4 linked regions of the Saccharomyces cerevisiae S288C genome follow. Changing the gene in region 1 together with any one later gene gives a genetic interaction. Each region holds a gene or a part of one and is shown on either strand. Other genes may lie near its edges. The genes, in order: ARO8, MSA2, ARO10 and CTP1.

Evidence for each region.
Region 2: mutations in ARO8 (region 1) and MSA2 together harm fitness more than expected from each alone (negative genetic interaction), as found in Saccharomyces cerevisiae (2 studies listed by BioGRID).
Region 3: of ARO8 (region 1) and ARO10, changing one enhances a phenotype caused by changing the other (phenotypic enhancement), as found in Saccharomyces cerevisiae (2 studies listed by BioGRID).
Region 4: mutations in ARO8 (region 1) and CTP1 together harm fitness more than expected from each alone (negative genetic interaction), as found in Saccharomyces cerevisiae (2 studies listed by BioGRID).

Annotation. Positions count from the first base shown.
Region 1 is NC_001139.9:113,472-119,060, reverse strand, and holds ARO8 (bifunctional 2-aminoadipate transaminase/aromatic-amino-acid:2-oxoglutarate transaminase), read right to left. Parts: upstream 3,003-5,589; coding exon 1,500-3,002; downstream 1-1,499. Other genes in the region: MCM DNA helicase complex subunit MCM6, read left to right, coding at 1-1,207; KEX1 (serine-type carboxypeptidase), read left to right, coding at 4,397-5,589.
Region 2 is NC_001143.9:580,195-585,244, reverse strand, and holds MSA2 (Msa2p), read right to left. Parts: upstream 1,593-5,050; coding exon 501-1,592; downstream 1-500. Other genes in the region: VPS501 (sorting nexin family protein), read right to left, coding at 1-293; ECM4 (S-glutathionyl-(chloro)hydroquinone reductase), read right to left, coding at 1,850-2,962; YKR075C (uncharacterized protein), read left to right, coding at 4,495-5,050.
Region 3 is NC_001136.10:1,231,149-1,237,133, forward strand, and holds ARO10 (phenylpyruvate decarboxylase ARO10), read left to right. Parts: upstream 1-3,069; coding exon 3,070-4,977; downstream 4,978-5,985. Other genes in the region: GTPase-activating protein RGA2, read left to right, coding at 1-2,048; SDH6 (Sdh6p), read right to left, coding at 2,130-2,369; RNA-binding protein YRA1, read left to right, coding at 5,410-5,694. UniProt on the Saccharomyces cerevisiae protein: One of five 2-oxo acid decarboxylases (PDC1, PDC5, PDC6, ARO10, and THI3) involved in amino acid catabolism.
Region 4 is NC_001134.8:782,490-787,501, forward strand, and holds CTP1 (Ctp1p), read right to left. Parts: upstream 2,084-5,012; coding exon 1,184-2,083; downstream 1-1,183. Other genes in the region: BSD2 (Bsd2p), read left to right, coding at 102-1,067; YBR292C (uncharacterized protein), read right to left, coding at 2,213-2,584; VBA2 (Vba2p), read left to right, coding at 4,517-5,012. UniProt on the Saccharomyces cerevisiae protein: Transport of citrate across inner mitochondrial membrane.

The sequences.
Region 1 (5,589 bases):
GGAAGGAGGTGATTATACAATTGAAGCAGGTGCTTTAATGCTTGCTGATAACGGTATTTGTTGTATCGATGAATTTGATAAAATGGATATTTCAGATCAAGTTGCCATTCATGAAGCTATGGAACAACAGACCATCTCTATTGCTAAAGCTGGTATTCACGCTACTTTAAATGCAAGAACATCAATTCTAGCGGCTGCCAACCCGGTAGGTGGAAGATACAATAGGAAACTATCACTGAGGGGTAATTTAAATATGACCGCACCGATCATGTCCAGATTTGATTTATTTTTTGTTATTCTTGATGACTGTAACGAAAAAATTGATACCGAATTGGCATCTCATATCGTTGACTTACACATGAAAAGAGACGAAGCCATTGAGCCGCCATTTAGTGCAGAACAACTACGTCGTTATATCAAATATGCACGTACTTTTAAACCAATATTAACGAAAGAAGCCCGTTCCTATTTAGTCGAGAAGTATAAGGAACTGAGAAAGGATGATGCCCAGGGATTTAGTAGATCGAGTTATAGAATCACAGTTAGGCAACTTGAAAGTATGATTAGATTATCAGAAGCTATTGCGAGGGCTAATTGTGTCGATGAAATTACTCCATCATTCATTGCAGAAGCTTACGATCTTTTAAGGCAAAGTATTATTCGTGTTGATGTGGATGATGTGGAAATGGATGAAGAATTTGATAACATAGAGAGTCAAAGTCACGCCGCTTCTGGAAACAATGATGACAATGATGATGGGACTGGGTCAGGTGTAATTACGAGTGAGCCACCAGCAGATATAGAAGAAGGACAAAGCGAAGCTACAGCTCGTCCAGGTACAAGCGAGAAGAAGAAAACAACGGTGACGTATGATAAATATGTGTCCATGATGAACATGATCGTTAGAAAGATTGCTGAAGTAGATAGGGAGGGTGCAGAAGAACTAACAGCTGTGGATATAGTTGATTGGTATTTATTACAGAAGGAAAATGATTTGGGTTCGTTAGCAGAATATTGGGAAGAGAGAAGATTAGCGTTCAAAGTCATAAAAAGGTTGGTCAAAGATAGGATTTTAATGGAGATTCATGGTACCAGACACAATTTAAGAGATCTTGAGAATGAGGAAAATGAAAATAATAAAACTGTTTATGTTATTCATCCAAACTGTGAGGTTTTGGATCAATTGGAACCACAGGATTCCAGCTAATTCAGTGCACTCTTGCGGATTTTCATATTTCGTTTCAAGTATCGTTCACGTTGTAAATTCCTATCGTGTGCATTTCTCTTTGTGGGAGAAAAATATCTTACATAACTTGGCTCTCAAATCAAGTTATAATTGTTGTATAAAGTTGTACTCTTAATGAAAAAACAAAATATTATATTTTGGCTTCCACTTGCAGTCTTTTACAAAAAGAAAAAATACTTCGAAATTTAAGCAATACAAAAATACGTACGTCCTTTTTTCACCTTATATATATTCTTCCAACGTATTTACCTCTCTATTTGGAAATACCAAATTCTTCGTATAAAGTATCACCTAATCTCTTCAGACCTTCAGTCAGTTTCTCAGGAGAGACAGCTGCATAGGTACCTCTGAAGAAAATTATGTTTGGATTACTGACTTCTTTAGATTCAGCGGGTTGAGGAGGTTCCGTCTCACCCTCACTCTTGAACCAAGAACCGGGAACCACTAAAACACCACGTTCAACCACTTTGTGGTAAAGACTCTGTTCTAGCTGGTAAGGGTCTGAGTTGTATTTTGTTTTAAACTCAGGGTGGACAGATGCGTCAATGTTCACGGTGAAAAACATACCTGCAATTGGAGGATTGATCACGAAAGCATCAGATTGTGGTAGATACTTGTAAAGGGCATCGATGGCACAGTCACGTTTCAAAGTGTATTCATGACGCAGGCCAAGCAACCAGTCCAAGTAACCCTTTTGACCCCACCTGGATAGCGTAGCGTTGACCAAAACTTGTGTAAAACCTGCTGGGGCTTGAATCGTCATTTCATGCAAACTCAAGTAAGGCTTCAAGATTTTGGATGAACCAGTAATCCAACCCAATCTTGTCCCTGGGGCCAAAACTTTTGAAAAGGAATCCATTCTAATAACACGGCCTTCTGTATCCAAGGAAAGGAAAGTGTTTGCCAAGGACTTCAAAAATTCGTCATGGTCCTGCTTTGGAGAACTTTGTGCCTTCTCTCTTTCCTTCAAGTCTTTGATGTAGGGATTCATTTGTAAGAAATAATAAGGTTCATCTTCCACAATTAGGAAGTCGTACTTTTGAGCGATCTTGTAAATTGCCTCCTTTCTATGGTCTGCAATGGAAGTACCAGTTGGATTTTGGCCCGTTGGAATAGTGTATAACAACTTTGGTTTAGGAGCACCAGGTGTCCAGTTTTCCATGACTTTAGCTAATTTTTCAGGAATGATACCATCAGCGTCAATTGGCACGGGGAAGGTAATGACACCTTGAGCCTCTGCAGAAGCCAATGAAGAGGAAAAAGAATGTGCCTCAACTAAGATGACATCACCTCGGTTACAAAAGACTCTTAAAGTAGATTCCCAGGCATTTGTGTTACCTGCAGTGGCTAAAACGTCCCAGTCCTTATACTTCAAATCGTGGATAATCTTGGTATGATCTCTAATGAAGTTTAATAGTTCAGGTTGACCAGCACTGAACCCGTATTGCAAAGCTCTTGACAAAGGAATATCGTTGGAAGGATTGGCACTTTTATCAGCGTAATCTTTGTTGACGGTGTATTTTATGCAATTCTGCTCGTCAATTGGAGCTCCAATACCCTGGGGAAAAGGAGGCTTGGGTGAATCTACAGATAGATTATCCCATGGGAAATAATCTTTTAATGGCAGGCCACCACCCAAAAAGATAATGTTAGGATCTTGGAAAAGATGGATGCAGGTTTTCAATGGGGATGGTTTACGAGCATTGGTTTCATCCGAAAACAAGTAAGAAAAGTCTTTTGATTCAGGTAAAGTCATGATAGTAACGATCGGTTGTCCTATTCAATGTCTGTATCAACTGCAGGGTTTAACTTAGTGGAATGGAAAAATAAGAAAAAGAAATAAGTTCTTAAAGATATAACCAAACCAAATATATAGTCTAGAGATGTGTATAGGAGGGTCTACAAGATAAGAAAAAAGATTGCGATACACATATCTTCAAATGAAATGCGCTTAATATTAGTCATAGATTGGACCTCGAGAAAGTGAAAAAGTGCAGAGTGAAAAATGTGATAAAAAAAGGAAAAAAAGACATCTAAGGTAACCCGGATGTTCTTCATTATTCCGGCGCAATTTAGTACTGTTCTTCTATCAATGGCAATTCAGAAGCCAGATTCTTGAATGAGGTGAAGGAGAACAATGGTTATAGGTTAATTAAGAGATTTTTGGATGGTGTATATGAGCCATGTTTAATCTTGGAAAAATAGTGAACCGGGAAAAAAATAAAGAAGAACTCCTCATAGGGGGCTCGAACCCCTGACATTTCGGTATCCTTGCTTAAGCAAATGCGCTTAAAAGCCGAACGCTCTACCAACTGAGCTAACAAGGATGAGTTCTTCGGATTTCTTCGATAATAGTTTTAGTTAAATATACATTATGTTCACATAATGCTATTATTTAATGCACATGTTAATGGACGGTAAACTACTTATCATTTATTGCAACAAATGAAAAGACACCACCCTAACAGCACGAAAAATGATGTTAATGTCTTGTATAGTATTGTCGGATAACTAACTCTCGTCTCAACAAAGCTTAAATAAGAGCTGAGAGATTGGTGAATTTTAAGATGATTGTAGGCATTTCATTGTTGATCAAGGCTACAATATTATGTATACAGAATATACTAAAAGTTCTCCTCGAGGGTAGAGGAATCCTCAAAGGGGAAGCGATATTTCTACATAATATTATTACGATTATTCCTCATTCCGTTTTATATGTTTCATTATCCTATTACATTATCAATCCTTGCACTTCAGCTTCCTCTAACTTCGATGACAGTTTCTCATACCTTATGTCATCGTCTAACACCGTATATGATAATATACTGGTAGTGTGACTACTAGTTTATAGACGATAGTTGATTTTTATTCCAACAGGATCATTTTGTTAGGTGAGGAATTGCGAGCTTTTTGGCTATAACTTTCAAGTTTTGTCACCAACATTTATATTTGCTTACTGCAGCCCGGAACCGAAAAACAATGTGGAAAAAGAAAAAAAAGTGGAATATTTTGATAATATAGGAAACATTAAGAAAAGCGATTTCTTATCATTGTCTTCAACTCCCATCTATTTGAAAAAGCTTGCTGAAGCATACTTTGGTTAAAGAGTACCTTGGCTATAGAATACCGTAGAGATAAAGACCTGAATAGATGTTTTACAATAGGTGGCTCGGAACGTGGCTAGCCATGTCTGCTTTAATAAGGATCTCAGTATCCCTTCCGTCATCTGAGGAGTACAAAGTGGCATATGAGCTGTTGCCAGGGTTATCTGAAGTGCCAGACCCTTCAAATATTCCACAGATGCATGCTGGCCATATTCCTTTACGTTCCGAAGATGCGGATGAACAGGATAGCTCTGACTTGGAGTACTTTTTTTGGAAGTTTACCAATAACGACTCTAATGGCAATGTCGACCGTCCCTTAATTATATGGTTAAATGGTGGACCCGGTTGCTCTTCCATGGATGGTGCCTTGGTCGAATCCGGCCCTTTTAGGGTGAATTCAGACGGTAAACTTTATCTAAATGAAGGGTCCTGGATATCCAAAGGCGATCTTTTATTTATCGACCAACCTACTGGTACTGGGTTTTCTGTCGAACAAAATAAAGACGAAGGTAAAATCGACAAAAACAAATTTGACGAAGACCTAGAAGATGTGACCAAGCATTTTATGGATTTTCTGGAGAACTATTTCAAGATTTTTCCAGAAGACCTCACTAGGAAAATCATACTATCGGGTGAAAGTTACGCTGGCCAATACATACCATTCTTTGCCAATGCAATTTTGAACCATAACAAATTTTCAAAGATCGACGGGGATACATACGACTTGAAGGCGCTATTGATTGGTAACGGTTGGATTGACCCCAATACACAGTCCCTATCGTACCTTCCGTTTGCTATGGAGAAGAAACTGATTGATGAAAGCAACCCCAATTTCAAACACTTAACGAACGCACACGAGAATTGCCAGAATCTGATAAACTCTGCCAGTACAGATGAGGCAGCCCATTTTTCGTATCAGGAATGTGAGAATATTTTAAACCTTCTATTGTCTTATACCAGGGAATCTTCGCAAAAGGGAACAGCGGATTGCTTGAACATGTATAACTTCAATTTAAAAGATAGTTATCCATCTTGTGGTATGAATTGGCCGAAAGATATTTCCTTTGTCAGTAAATTCTTCAGCACACCTGGTGTTATTGATTCGTTGCATCTTGATTCTGATAAAATTGATCATTGGAAGGAATGCACTAATAGCGTTGGAACTAAATTGTCTAATCCTATTTCAAAGCCATCTATCCATTTATTACCTGGTCTACTTGAAAGTGGAATAGAGATTGT
Region 2 (5,050 bases), on another chromosome or scaffold:
TTAATACAGCTTTCTGGTCTTCGACGTCTTCTTTTTTCAGTGAAAAGTTTTTTGTACTTTGGATCTTTTTCCAATAGCCTATTATCAATGGCCAGATCTGTTTGAAATTTCGATCTTGTGGACGGTGTGGCCATATTATCTTGTACATCTGTCTTACTATCCTCATCATCACTTATGCTAACGCTAACACTCTTGACAGACCTTTCGGAGTCGTCTATGGATATCTCCCCTTGAACGACAAATTCGTTCACTCCAATGCTTGGGCTCGCATGTGACGCCTTGTCGTTCTCCATATCTAATCTGTAGGGTTGCAGTTCTGATCTGCTGTTCCATGTATTCCCTATTGTGTAACTTTTTCACATAAGCGCAGTGCATTTTGCTTCCACTACACAATTTAATGGGAAAAAAAAAATATTGAATAGAATTAATTAAATAAAGTTCTTCGGTTTTGAATATATAATGAAATCTTACGTAGTGTATTTTACGAAAACCAAATGGACCTACTCTCTGGAGACAAGTTTTCGTAGTGCCATTGTGGCATCATCTTTTTCTATAGGTAACGAAATCATAGAAGATTTCATTATATTATTATAGGTCTGTTCTGAAAGTGCACCATTATGATTATTGGCGTTCTGGTCCACAGATAGATAGTCCGATCTATCTGAGTAATTGGCTGGATTAGAGTCCTGTGGAATCACCTCATCTATGTGCGGTAGTGAAGGGCGTCTTAACATCGATGCTTGAGCAAAATTTGAATTGAAGTGATTGTTTGCAGATTCAAAATTCGTCGTTCTTGGGGGTGACATCAAGAGACTGGTGTTCCAGTCCGATATGGGAAGGGGATCTATTAATCTTGCAGGAGACCTGAATTGCCTTGGTGATGATTGAAGTGGTAGATTAAAAAGAAATTGGTTGGTATTATTTGCGCTACCGTGATTATTATTTATGATGTTACTGGCGGAATTACCCTGTGAATCAGCGGTTGTGTTAGGAGACGTGAAGTTTTCAAGTAAAATTCCATCGAGATTGGGAGTGAAACCTGTTTTAATCTGAAATGAAGTAAAGTTTAGATTTAAATTGGAGTTTGCATTCGGAGTTCTTGGGGAAGCTAACTTTTTGGGAGACGGCTTTATGATGTTGGACACTAGTGGTGAAGGTGCAGTAGCTGCTGGTTGCAAACTTGTCGTAGACTTTAATGGTACTTTACTATATTTTTTGTTGACAGTACTGCTCTTGTTTCTCATTTTTTTCAACAAAGATAATATACGAGTCTTTTCGACACGGTCAGAAGTAACAGGCTTTTTCTTTGGTACAGGTTTCTCCATTTTCGATGTATCAGTGGGAAGGACGTTTATAGGCCCCAGTATTGTAGCCTTACCATTTTGCCCAATAGACAGTGAAAATTTACCGAAACTGGAAGACCGGCCGTGAACCTTCATTGAAGACGATGACACAACAATTGAAGGTGATTGGTAATCCAATGAGGAGGGCGTTTGCATTGAAGGGGCTCTGATTGGCGAGAAGATAAGAGTGTGGCTAGATTGCGGTGTGGAGCTGAATCTCTGCTGTTGTTGCGGTGTTGTGTATACCATTGATTGGTTTAAAAACTGCTTCCTTGCTAAAATCTTTTGTAAAACGAAACCGATAAAGAAGAATAACAAACTACAAAGTAGAAGAATGAATACAGCTGTGCATGAATGTCATATTATGAAAATATTTCATTGCGTTAAATATAATTTCCAGGCCTTTTTTTGCACTTTAACGCGTTTCGCGTCAATTACCCAATTGAGTATAGAAAAAGAGGCAACTCAGGGAGATTATAGACATTTGATTATTTAATTACAGCTTGTTATAAAGGACGAATATCTGGCTTGGGTCCCAGGGGCGTAATTCCCAAGGGGTTGATCCTTGTGTGGGAACGCGTGTAGTGTAACTTGATATGGTCAAAATCTGTTGTGTACCTGAAGGCATCATAATTCCAGTATAAATTTCTTACCCACAAATGAATAAATGGATATCCGGCTCTAATAGAGGTAAAATTGCATTTGAAATGTTGGACGTACACAGGATCGAATCTTATGACGGTAGTATACAATCTAATGTCAGCTTCTGTTAATTGATCACCCACAGTGAAGAACTCACCCAAGATTTTTTGTCTATCTTCTTCACCGTATTTGGCCTTCAATTTGGAATATTTGTCACTCAGGATTTTCTCCACTTTGTCCAAATGTTCAAATACGTTGTTGACTTCACTTTCGTAAACTTCTGCTTTCTCTGCGAATCCGGTCTTGTATACACCATTGTTGATGCTGTCGTAAACCCAAGAATTGAAGTCATCGATCTGTGTTTTCAACTGAGCAGGAACAAGGTCCGTTTTCTTGTGATCGTCGTCGACAAATTCATCGAACGCACTAGAGTTCAAAATCCTTATAATTTCGCTACTTTCGTTGTTAACAATTGTTTGGGTTTCTAAGTCCCACAGGACTGGGACGGTGAACCTTGCCGAGTATTGAGGATCGCTCTTGTAATATAAGTCACTGATTCTCTTGTATCCATAGTGAGGCTCATTGGTAGCATCAACCATGAATCTTTGACTGTCATTCTTGATCTCGGCGAAGCTCTTGCTGGAATCCTCTTTAGCAGTTCTAATACCACCTGCAACATCGTGCCAATGTTCCAAAAAATCTTCACTGTCCTCCAATTGCTTTTCCATGTCCAAAAATCTCCATCCTTTCTCGTCAAGGTGCCAATGGACTACGCTACATCCTATAACAGAGGTTAATCCCTTCAAAGCCCTCGTAATTAGTGTTCTATGGGCCCATGGGCATGCAAGTGAAACATACAACCAATATCTTCCCTTTGCTGGCTTATAAATTGGGTGTTGCTTAGAGATTGTTTCTCTGAAGGACGAAACCTGTCTTTTGAAAGCTCCGTTTGTACCACTCGCCCACTGTTTCGACATTTCTTATTTATCTTGCGCAGGGTTTGGGTAAATTCTCGTAAGCACTGTAGTGATGGTAAGAGCAGCGTTACCTAATTAACTACCTTTATACAAGAAATGGAAAAGGGTTGAGAGGGGTTGGACGCTAAGACAAATAAATAGGGGTGTGAAATTTCAAGAGCTGACTAATATCTTAGTAACGGAGAACAACAGAGAACAGATGATAAAACTATATTGATACGTTCAAAAGGTCTTAGGACCGTCTGAAGAGGTGAAATAAAGATGGAAAAGTTTGCGTCACCAAGCCTTTTGCGTCGGTTTCCTCTGTAACACTTTTTAATTCAAAGTGTTAAAATCTCAACTGTATACCCTCTAATTTGCATAATAATGAAACTAAATGTAAAAAAAAAAAGGAAAGAAAATCACTCCATAATCAGGGTAATGAATCATTTTACAGTGTCATTTGCATGTTCATACACATACCCTTCTTGACAGAATGCAGGAAAAGCCTCAACTATTTATCGGACACATTCGCAAATGTCCATTGACGAGTAAAACGTTTCCGCGTCACTACATTCGTCACTACACAACTTTAAAATACCTTATTTTTTTAATTATGCGGAGTAAGTATCTTTGCAGAACTAGATGGTTGGATTGAGCAGTAGGCATCAGTGACTCGAATTGGTGCTCATTTTTATTTTAACGTACGATTTGTTCAGGCCTTGCTATGACAAGCTTCCTGACGAAATCATACTGCAAGATACATAGTCCCAGTCCATAAACTAGTAGAATGACAAAAAGAAACTCAGAACATACATAACACGATAGACAACGTATTCACGGTTTTGAACCCCACGTAGTATCCTTCTAAATGGCATTGCCTTTACCACATGAAAAACTAAGAGAAGAAAGCTCTCTGCACTAATCATTATAAACGACAGCGGACCCGGAAGCGAGTACCCGAATAGGCCGGGGAAGGAAAAGATAGAAAGGAATCTTTTTTTCTTCCCCCCGCTCTTTTTTTTTATGCTTTTTGGGGTTTTTCCGGCAACTTTCAACAGAAATGCCGTAGCCGGAAAAACCGAAAGCGGGGGACAGTGAAGCGTGAGAGGGGCGAGACAGGGGGAACTTGAATGGGGTATTTTGCTTTTGCTGCATTTTTTCCGCTGGTACCTCTATCTTTAGGCGACCGGAAAAATTCATTTTCTCATCTTTTTTTTTTTTTCGTTTCCGACTCGATACTCTTTACAAAGAAACCCCCGCGGGGAAATGTTAGATTTGAGCTTTTTCCGCCAGGAAAAGAAAAAACCTGGGGACATTAATCTTGTTTTTTCTTTCTTCTTTTGTCTTCCCTTGGATGACTGCAGAAAAAGTACAGTTACCGGGTCTTAGCAAAAACAAACATATATATATATATATATGAAAGCGTATGGTCAACACGGTTTTATAGGTTTTACTTTTTGCATTCAGTTCAACTTTGGCCCTTTCTCTTATCGCATTCAGATACTACACACAAGTGTTCATACACACACAAATAGATACATATACAGAAAATGACTAGTTTGGACGATACAATAATTTCGTACCAGAATATAATGTTACTGGATAACATGACCAACTACAACAAGCCTGCGATTGACTATTTCCATCATGAATTTAATGATGCAAGCTTGGAAATATCGGCTTCATGGACACTACTATTGAAGATGCGCAAACATAAACTACTTCGATTACCAAGTTGCTCTTCAGAGGACGTGCTAGATTACAACATGTACCTCGTTAGGCTACATCATTGCCTCTGGAGGCGTTGGTCCATAAATCACTATGGTTTACAGAACTCCAAATCCAATCCACTGTCCATCAACTGGAACAAAGAAACCGATGTAACGGTGTTGTACGGTCCAGATTTGACTAACATAGATAGTAATGAAAACGAAATATCGCCGGTCCAGAACCAAATTGACCAGAAACAAACAAAAAATCTAAAATCTGCTTTAAAGAAAAATACGGAATGCTGGGTAACCGAGGAGGTGGATGAGATTAACGCTTCTATAGAGAGCAATGACAACGCTTTGGTGAAATTAGAAGACATTTCATGCCCATCGTCTG
Region 3 (5,985 bases), on another chromosome or scaffold:
TTACAAGTCCTTTGAACAGCCCTATGGCTGTACAAATGAACGAAGAGGTCGAACCTCCGCATGGACTGGCATTAACTTTATCAGAAGCTACGAAAGAAAATAACAAATCATCTCAAGGTATTCAAACGTCAACTTCCAAATCTATGAATCATGTCTCCCCGATTACAAGAACCGATACCGTAGAAATGAAAACATCAACCTCTTCATCGACATTACGTTTGTCTGATAATGGAAGTTTCAGCAGGCCTCAAACAGCAGATAACTTATTGCCGCATAAAAAAGTAGCACCCTCTCCAAACAAAAAACTTTCAAGATCGTTTTCTTTGAAGTCCAAAAATTTTGTTCACAACCTGAAAAGTAAAACTTCGGAAATGCTGGACCCAAAGCATCCCCATCACAGCACTTCTATACAGGAATCAGACACTCATTCTGGCTGGGGTGTTTCCTCTACTCATACAAATATAAGAAAATCAAAAGCCAAAAAAAATCCTGTATCAAGAGGCCAAAGTGACAGTACAATATACAATACTCTACCACAACATGGAAATTTTACAGTACCGGAGTTTAATCACAAAAAAGCGCAAAGCAGCCTTGGCAGTATATCCAAAAAGCAAAATTCTAATGATACAGCCACTAATAGACGCATAAATGGTTCATTTACAAGTTCAAGCTCGGGGCATCATATAGCAATGTTCCGTACGCCGCCTTTGGAATCAGGGCCATTATTTAAGAGGCCATCTCTGTCATCTGAGTCCGCACACCACAGATCTTCTAGCTTACAGACGTCTAGATCCACTAATGCATTGTTGGAAGACGATTCCACGAAAGTGGATGCTACTGATGAAAGCGCTACAAGCTTGGAAAAGGACTTTTACTTTACTGAGTTGACTTTAAGGAAGTTAAAATTAGATGTGAGGGAACTAGAAGGTACGAAGAAAAAATTATTACAAGATGTTGAAAATCTAAGATTAGCGAAAGAGAGGCTGTTAAATGATGTTGACAATTTAACAAGAGAAAAGGATAAGCAATCTGCATCTTCCCGGGAGTCCTTAGAACAAAAAGAAAACATTGCAACATCAATCACTGTAAAGTCACCAAGTTCAAATTCCGACAGAAAAGGGAGCATATCTAATGCCAGTCCTAAACCACGCTTCTGGAAAATATTTTCAAGTGCTAAGGATCACCAGGTAGGCGATCTAGAATCACAGCAACGTTCGCCAAATTCATCTTCAGGCGGAACGACAAATATAGCACAGAAAGAAATATCATCACCGAAATTAATTCGAGTACACGATGAGCTTCCTTCTCCAGGCAAAGTACCACTGTCGCCAAGTCCAAAGAGATTAGATTATACGCCTGATGGTTCCCATTTATATGGATCTTCGCTACAAGCTCGATGTGCGTATGAAAAAAGTACTGTTCCAATAATTATCAGGTGCTGCATTGATCGCATTGAAAAAGATGATATAGGCCTGAACATGGAAGGCTTATACAGAAAGTCGGGCTCACAGACTTTGGTTGAGGAGATCGAAAATGAATTCGCTCAGAATAATTCGTTGCATAGTGATACATTAAGTCCCAAACTGAATGCTTTACTGAATCAAGATATTCATGCAGTGGCTAGCGTATTAAAACGATATTTGAGAAAACTACCAGATCCAGTTTTATCATTTTCCATATACGATGCCTTGATAGATCTAGTTAGAAATAACCAACTAATTGAGAGGCTACCATTAAACAACGACAAGTTTTTGGATTCACCACAAAAAGTGACTATTTATGAAATGGTGCTCAAAAGCCTACTTGAAATTTTCAAAATTTTACCCGTAGAGCATCAGGAAGTATTGAAAGTATTGGCAGCACATATCGGCAAAGTTCGAAGGTGCAGTGAAAGAAATTTAATGAACTTACATAACTTGTCGTTGGTCTTTGCACCGAGTCTTATCCACGATTTTGACGGCGAGAAAGATATTGTGGACATGAAGGAGAGGAATTATATCGTGGAATTTATACTTGGAAACTATAGAGACATATTTAAGCAAGCATAATACAGATTTGCAAAAGTTAAATAAACATAGGATAGATTAAATAAGAAATCATATGAAAAAAGAATAAAGTAAGAAAATAGTTCAATGTATATTCGTCAGTTCAGGGTGTGAAAAGGTGGCAATTTTTTTGTTTCCGACCCGTAACAAGTGTTCAATGGTGGTGAAGTCTTTTCTTGGCAAATTTCTATACTTCCCAAATTCTTCATGAATATAATTCACAAAATTAACTTGGTTTTCCTTTGGTTTTGTATGAGCCGTTCGTATGGAAGCCCTATACAGGTGTAAGACTTCTTTTTGTAACCCACTTAATCTCTTAGGCATGCTCTTGGTATTGCGTCTCCTCTTCTTCTTGTGTGTTTAAGCTACATTATCTTTGTTAAGAATAATTTGGCGAACCCCTTTTTTTCTTCGGCTTTGCAAGGTTAATTAATTAACATCTACCAGTTTTACTACATTTTAGATTGGTTCGTCCACCGAAATTTAAAAAAGCAGGATTGAAAGCGTACAACAACGTCTTAGCGAAAAAGATAATCCAAAATTCGATGCTTGTACACCTCATGTAGCTTCCTTATTAACATTTGGTAGTAGGCTTAGGCTATTTTTTGAAAAAGCCGTCATATATTACTTTGAGCCTTTGCGAATCCTCTCCAAAGTGTCGGTTACCTACCGGGAGGGATAACCGCGGATAGCCGTCATTTACCGAAAATTGCCGAGGTCATGCTGAGCATTTGTCGTACTTTTGTGCGGCGGAGCTTTGATACCTTCGGTAAGTGTCGGTATGTAATAGGTTAGTGGCATCTTATTTATTGTGTTGAGTAAAGTTTAAGATATAAACTGGGCTAGTTTGCATCGTCACTACAGCGGCAGCTCACTTTCATTTTTTTTCTGCGTTTATTAATACTACATAAAATCTGATATAAAACATATTTAACTGATCAACCCTCTCAACTTGATACTCAAAACAAGTTGACGCGACTTCTGTAAAGTTTATTTACAAGATAACAAAGAAACTCCCTTAAGCATGGCACCTGTTACAATTGAAAAGTTCGTAAATCAAGAAGAACGACACCTTGTTTCCAACCGATCAGCAACAATTCCGTTTGGTGAATACATATTTAAAAGATTGTTGTCCATCGATACGAAATCAGTTTTCGGTGTTCCTGGTGACTTCAACTTATCTCTATTAGAATATCTCTATTCACCTAGTGTTGAATCAGCTGGCCTAAGATGGGTCGGCACGTGTAATGAACTGAACGCCGCTTATGCGGCCGACGGATATTCCCGTTACTCTAATAAGATTGGCTGTTTAATAACCACGTATGGCGTTGGTGAATTAAGCGCCTTGAACGGTATAGCCGGTTCGTTCGCTGAAAATGTCAAAGTTTTGCACATTGTTGGTGTGGCCAAGTCCATAGATTCGCGTTCAAGTAACTTTAGTGATCGGAACCTACATCATTTGGTCCCACAGCTACATGATTCAAATTTTAAAGGGCCAAATCATAAAGTATATCATGATATGGTAAAAGATAGAGTCGCTTGCTCGGTAGCCTACTTGGAGGATATTGAAACTGCATGTGACCAAGTCGATAATGTTATCCGCGATATTTACAAGTATTCTAAACCTGGTTATATTTTTGTTCCTGCAGATTTTGCGGATATGTCTGTTACATGTGATAATTTGGTTAATGTTCCACGTATATCTCAACAAGATTGTATAGTATACCCTTCTGAAAACCAATTGTCTGACATAATCAACAAGATTACTAGTTGGATATATTCCAGTAAAACACCTGCGATCCTTGGAGACGTACTGACTGATAGGTATGGTGTGAGTAACTTTTTGAACAAGCTTATCTGCAAAACTGGGATTTGGAATTTTTCCACTGTTATGGGAAAATCTGTAATTGATGAGTCAAACCCAACTTATATGGGTCAATATAATGGTAAAGAAGGTTTAAAACAAGTCTATGAACATTTTGAACTGTGCGACTTGGTCTTGCATTTTGGAGTCGACATCAATGAAATTAATAATGGGCATTATACTTTTACTTATAAACCAAATGCTAAAATCATTCAATTTCATCCGAATTATATTCGCCTTGTGGACACTAGGCAGGGCAATGAGCAAATGTTCAAAGGAATCAATTTTGCCCCTATTTTAAAAGAACTATACAAGCGCATTGACGTTTCTAAACTTTCTTTGCAATATGATTCAAATGTAACTCAATATACGAACGAAACAATGCGGTTAGAAGATCCTACCAATGGACAATCAAGCATTATTACACAAGTTCACTTACAAAAGACGATGCCTAAATTTTTGAACCCTGGTGATGTTGTCGTTTGTGAAACAGGCTCTTTTCAATTCTCTGTTCGTGATTTCGCGTTTCCTTCGCAATTAAAATATATATCGCAAGGATTTTTCCTTTCCATTGGCATGGCCCTTCCTGCCGCCCTAGGTGTTGGAATTGCCATGCAAGACCACTCAAACGCTCACATCAATGGTGGCAACGTAAAAGAGGACTATAAGCCAAGATTAATTTTGTTTGAAGGTGACGGTGCAGCACAGATGACAATCCAAGAACTGAGCACCATTCTGAAGTGCAATATTCCACTAGAAGTTATCATTTGGAACAATAACGGCTACACTATTGAAAGAGCCATCATGGGCCCTACCAGGTCGTATAACGACGTTATGTCTTGGAAATGGACCAAACTATTTGAAGCATTCGGAGACTTCGACGGAAAGTATACTAATAGCACTCTCATTCAATGTCCCTCTAAATTAGCACTGAAATTGGAGGAGCTTAAGAATTCAAACAAAAGAAGCGGGATAGAACTTTTAGAAGTCAAATTAGGCGAATTGGATTTCCCCGAACAGCTAAAGTGCATGGTTGAAGCAGCGGCACTTAAAAGAAATAAAAAATAGAAACTTGTGGGCGCAATTATAAAACACTGCTACCAATTGTTCGTTTTCTGTTCATTAACACATAAAAAACCCTTATGTAACTATATTTACAAAGTAAATACGTATATTAAAGCTATTTTACCACTACCACAGAGTTCTTTGTCCAGTTGCTAGTATTTTTTTTTTCGCGACGAGGCAGGGGCGGGGAGACGTGTTGTTTTTCCACGGCTTTCGGCTCACCACTTGAAGAACTATAAAAGGCCGCCAAATTTATCCTTTTTCACTTCTTCCGTTCGCTTTTTTCTGTCATTCCTATCGTGTGTTTAGTAGTAGGTTTTTTTGTTAGAAGAAGTTTTATCCGAAAACTATCGAAGACAAATAGATAAAAAAATCTCCCTCGTTCTATTTGAAACTTTAAGAAATCCATATTAAGAAAATACCTACATCTGCTAAATGTCTGCTAACTTAGATAAATCCTTAGACGAAATCATTGGCTCTAACAAAGCAGGAAGTAATAGAGCCCGTGTCGGTGGTACTCGTGGTAACGGTCCAAGAAGAGTTGGTAAGCAAGTTGGTAGCCAACGTAGGAGCCTTCCAAACAGAAGAGGCCCTATCAGAAAAAATACTAGGGCACCTCCAAACGCAGTCGCTAGAGTTGCCAAGCTCTTGGACACCACTAGAGAGGTCAAGGTCAACGTCGAAGGTTTGCCAAGGGACATTAAGCAGGATGCTGTAAGAGTATGTTAATACGTGAAATGAGAGCTATTTGTTTAGTTACTCGCATCGTCTCGTGTGGATACGAGAAATATTCTTTGTAAGGAAGGATATGGCACACGCTTTTGATCAAGAATTCTCTTTTTAGAGATGAAGAAAGAGTCCGAAATACTTCGCTAGAGAAAATACAAAAAGAGTATCGTTTTCATAAGCCAACCATACCAATTTTTTTCAATACTTCAAATCATGGCCTATAAGGTTGGAATTACCAGCTACCACTGAGAATGGGTTTGTTCTTATTGGCTGGGTTAACTC
Region 4 (5,012 bases), on another chromosome or scaffold:
TTTAGAAGAATAGTACATAACCTTTATAAAAATCTTCCAATTTAGATACATAAAAAGAGCATGAGAATAACAAGAACACGTAGTCTAGGAAACTAAGCGCTATGCCAGAGCAAGAACTACTTATAGGGCAAGAAATGAATACACTTCATGCAGGTTCATCTACTGATGGCATAAATGTCGGAAACGCAGGACGAACTAGAGACACACAAACTGGCGTAGAAGGGGAAACGGAAATAGGGTCTGACGAGGAAGATAGCATAGAGGACGAGGGAAGCAGCAGTGGAGGAAATAGTACGACAGAAAGACTAGTACCACACCAGCTGAGGGAACAAGCAGCCAGACATATAGGAAAAATAGGAAGACATTTTAATATTCTTGATAGACTTTTTAAGAAACGTACACAACAGTCTTCGGATATACAACAAGGTGCCATGTTTGATGGTGTCTTTAGCAATTTAAGCGCAAAACCAGATACCACAGAGACTGAAGGTAATAACGAACAAGACATACCACCTACATACGACGAAGCTGCTGCTGATATGGCCCCCTCGTATTATGGAATGGATTTGAACAATTCAGATATCTACTACGACGAAATATGCATTGAGGGGCTTCCTGTAGGAAATATAGCAAATTTATTATGGAATATCATCGTAAGCACGAGTTTTCAGTTCATTGGATTTTTAATAACCTACATTTTACACACATCTCACGCAGCAAAGCAAGGTTCAAGGTTTGGATTAGGGTTAACGTTCATTGGATATGGTTATTCAATGATTCCCAATGATGTTACTTCAAAAGTCGGCAAAAATAAAAGCTTAAATAGAATGGAATTAGAGGATCCAAATGAATTCGATGATGTTCGTCTAAATTCACAATCAACGACACAAGATAAATTTGAATCACATTTGAATCACGGTCTGGATGAAGAAAAACAAAACATACCATGGTTGGCTGTTTTTGTGGCATTTCTTGGGCTATTTATCACCCTGAAGAGTATATACGACTACATTCAAGTCAAAAAATTGGAAAAGAAATACCTCAACCAAAGTCAAAATCAAGCATAAGCCATCTTCTTCATTATGATAAAAAGAGATATATAACTTTTTTAAGTGATCGGCTGGTAAATAGACTTATAACGAGTAGAAAACATTAGATGATATATTGTACACAATAATACATTTCAGGCTAGCATAACTAAGACCTTTTCATAGATAGTGAAAACAATACCACCACTCAAGACCAATCTCCCAAGTCTAGGCGTAGCACCTTTCCAAAACGTCTTTAACCCTTCTTCTTTGAAAATGGTTGCAAAACAATTCATTGTAGAGGAGTATTTGGTGGAATCCAAACTTTGCATTCTTGTTTTCACAGTATCAAGGGGCATGGTGGAATAGACCGTCACAATACCACTAAATGCACCCACTAAGAAGGTTAACCCGGATGATAAAGGTTTGTCTTTTGGCGAATCCGTATAATCTTGGATCAAGGTCTTAATCTTATTGTAACAACCCAATCTAACGGCTTGGTTTGCGGCCTGTCTCATGGAAACTGGCAAAACACCACGATAAAGACCAGAAAATCCTTTATCACGGACTAATGATGAATAGTTTCGTACTACACCGCGCCCATTATTATGGTATTTTGGTGTAGCAGATTGTTTATCATCGATCAAAGCAGTTTTGATTGCTTCAAAAGGAGTCACTGCGGCAACACTTTCTAATAGTCCCGCACCTAACCCAGCTATCACCCCTCTTGTACCACTTAGTTCTCCAGTTTCACTATCTCTTAGCATGTCTTTAATGGTATCAAAGCCAAGAAATCTAATACCCGCCTTAGCGGTGTTTCCAATAATAAATGCGGGACATCCGACATAAATGGAACCAATGCCCTGAGTTTTTGCAGTTTTATATATCAATACCAGAGGATTTCTTGATGCCTTGGAGGCCTTATCAATCAGCTGCAGCCTTGTTTTGGCAAACTCAAAAGGATATGTTATACATGCTTCAGCAGCACCGGCTAGGGACCCTGCCAGAAACGAGTGCAATGGATCTACGTCACTTTTGGTAGCTTTACTGGACATCGGTAAAATGCTAATTTATAATTCAAGCTCTACTTTGGAGTTCTTTCATTGTGACATCAAAATGTTTTTAATTTTACGTTGGCTTCGACATTTTACGTTTTATATATCACGCTAAAGTGAGACTAAATTTCATTGTTCTTCTTTTTTTTTTTTTTCACTTCTAATAATTGAAAATTCCGCAGGAATTCTTCCATATTCTTGACTCTTCAGTAAGACTAACTTAATGGAAATAGAGAAAATAGTACATATTTGAAAAAAAAAAAAGAGGTGTTGAAATGATTTGAGAATATTAAATAGCTTACAAGCGTTAGCCGAGTTCCCAGACAGCAGAGTTTCTACCCTGTGCTCTTTGTTGGCGGCTTTATTGATGAGGAATATAAAAATGTAATTAGGCAAACCTACGCGCGAAAATATAAGAAGCAAAGATATAAAGTGTAGTATATTTGAATATTTACATGAACGAAACGGCGACGTATAATGGTAATCGGCTGGGAACTTCATTAAAAAGTCAAGATGTAAGTTACCTCTTAGTAAGAAGAGTTATTGCAGCAAGCTTAGTATCAATAGGGAGACTCTGTCATGTAAAAAAATAAATGAACACAATCATAACCTCTTCGACTGGGCTATTCGTTGTATAGTATATGTGGTGGAGTGTAATGAATGAAGTTCTCAGAAGCTTGAAAGCATATCAAAATCACGTATTGACTATGACAGATTCTTGTTTCTTGCTCCATTACTCCATTCGAGTTTTTCACAACTTTTGTCGTTCGTCTATAACATCTCTTTTTTTTCCCACTCTTCTAAAATATTGGCATAGCTGACATGTTTGGAACCGAATAAGCAATTACAATACGACAGTAAAATAAAAGCATGTTATTGCTGCTTGTAGAGAATTCCTGCATATGTAACTTTCTCATTCCGACGGGATAAGTTCATAAACTAATCAGCGATGAGTTGCGGAAAATTCGTCAATAGAATATTTTCCAGTCAGTGGTGGTCCCAGTGGCCTGCAACCTAATGGCTATAGTTCTGGATAATAAATTGGGCAAAGGTCAGTATAAAGAATGAATGTATCAGGCCGTAATTGAAGCTTTCAAGTCCAGGTGAAAGGCCAAATCGACAATTAGCGAAAACAGGATTTTTTTACCAACTTGAAATAGTGACTGCTGTCTTTTTGCCTGATTAAGTGGTTATATATTTCAACTAATATCACAACAAAAGGCCTCTCAAAATTTGTGGCGAAGTGTACATCCTGGGTGCTCAGGTAAGCGTCGTCTTCGTATTTTTTTTTTTTCAACAGTAGTTTGGAAATAATGCTCTTCGAGGAATGCGAGCGGAAATGTTATCCACTGTATAAGTCGATATTTTAAGGGACGCTAAATATATCATCATAGCTCGTCTATTGGTGGCTTCTCCAATTGCACTTTCAATGCATTATGGTAAAGTGTGGTGATAAGGCATAGTGATGTTTACAGAGGTCTGTTGGTTTCTCTGGGCTCGCTCATCATCCGACCAGTAACCTTGTGGGGTTTCACATATTGTTCTATGCATTATTATCACGGATTTGTGCCTGCAAATGCTGTTTCTTTGGCTTTTCTTTCTAAAAAAATTATGATATATATATTGTTCCTCCTTGTTTAACAGGCTTTACGGTATTGTGGATCCTAGTAATAGGCGTACTTTTCTTCATTTACATATTTGAACAATATATGTCTCACAAGTAGTTGACCGAATAGCGTTACGTAAGGGTCAAAAACCTTTTCAGAATTGTATATATGACATTTTTAGAACATGATATAATAAACAGAATATAAAAGAAAATAGAGACGACGTACCATGGCATGAAGAATTGTACTGATATCACATTGTGTTGAGCACTGATAGATTAATACTATATTTCTGCTAGGTGCGGGGGGTAACATGTCCTAATGTGTGGCAACCACATTCTAAGGCTCGGTAAGTGATGCGATATATGTGCATGTGTGGCTTTCTTCCTAATTTGCTATTAGATGATTGTGTGCAAATCCACAGAAATATACAATTTCGAGAATATATATACTAGTTATCGTTATAAGAACACACAGTATTGGCCAATTCTTGCCTCTGAATGGTACAAAATGCTTTAAAATGTAGTAAATGAAACATTAATTCCAAATCAGATTTTTTTTCGCAATGCTTAAATCTAGTAAACACAAAGTACTACCGAAAAGCAAGGATGGAAACTATGGCAGTATTGAAGAGACTGAAATTCCTTCTGTCGACTACAGTGAAGACTTAGATGAGGACTTGGACAAAGGCGAAGATATAGCGCTTTCAAGAATCCCAAATTGATGGATTATTGAAGCTACTCTTTTTTCTAATGTCTTTTTGTCCGGTTTTGACGGAACCGTTACAGCTTCGACGTACCAAACGATTGGTAACGAATTTAATCAGATGAGTATTTCAAATTGGATCACCACTGCGTATTTAATTACATCAACATCTTTTCAACCTCTTTATGGGTCATTTTCTGATGCACTTGGTCGAAGAAACTGCCTTTTCTTTGCTAATGGGGCTTTTACCATTGGATGTCTAGCCTGTGGTTTCTCGAAAAACATCTACATGCTTAGTTTTATGAGAGCATTGACAGGCATAGGAGGTGGTGGCTTGATCACACTTTCTACAATCGTAAATTCAGACGTTATTCCAAGTTCGAAAAGAGGAATTTTTCAAGCGTTTCAGAATTTACTTTTGGGATTTGGTGCCATATGTGGAGCGTCTTTCGGTGGCACAATAGCGTCGAGCATTGGTTGGAGGTGGTGTTTTCTCATCCAAGTACCCATATCTGTGATTAGTTCCATATTAATGAATTATTATGTACCTAATCAGAAAGAATATAATCGTCAAAATTCTAGCATATTCCAAAATCCCGGAAAAATACTCAGGGACA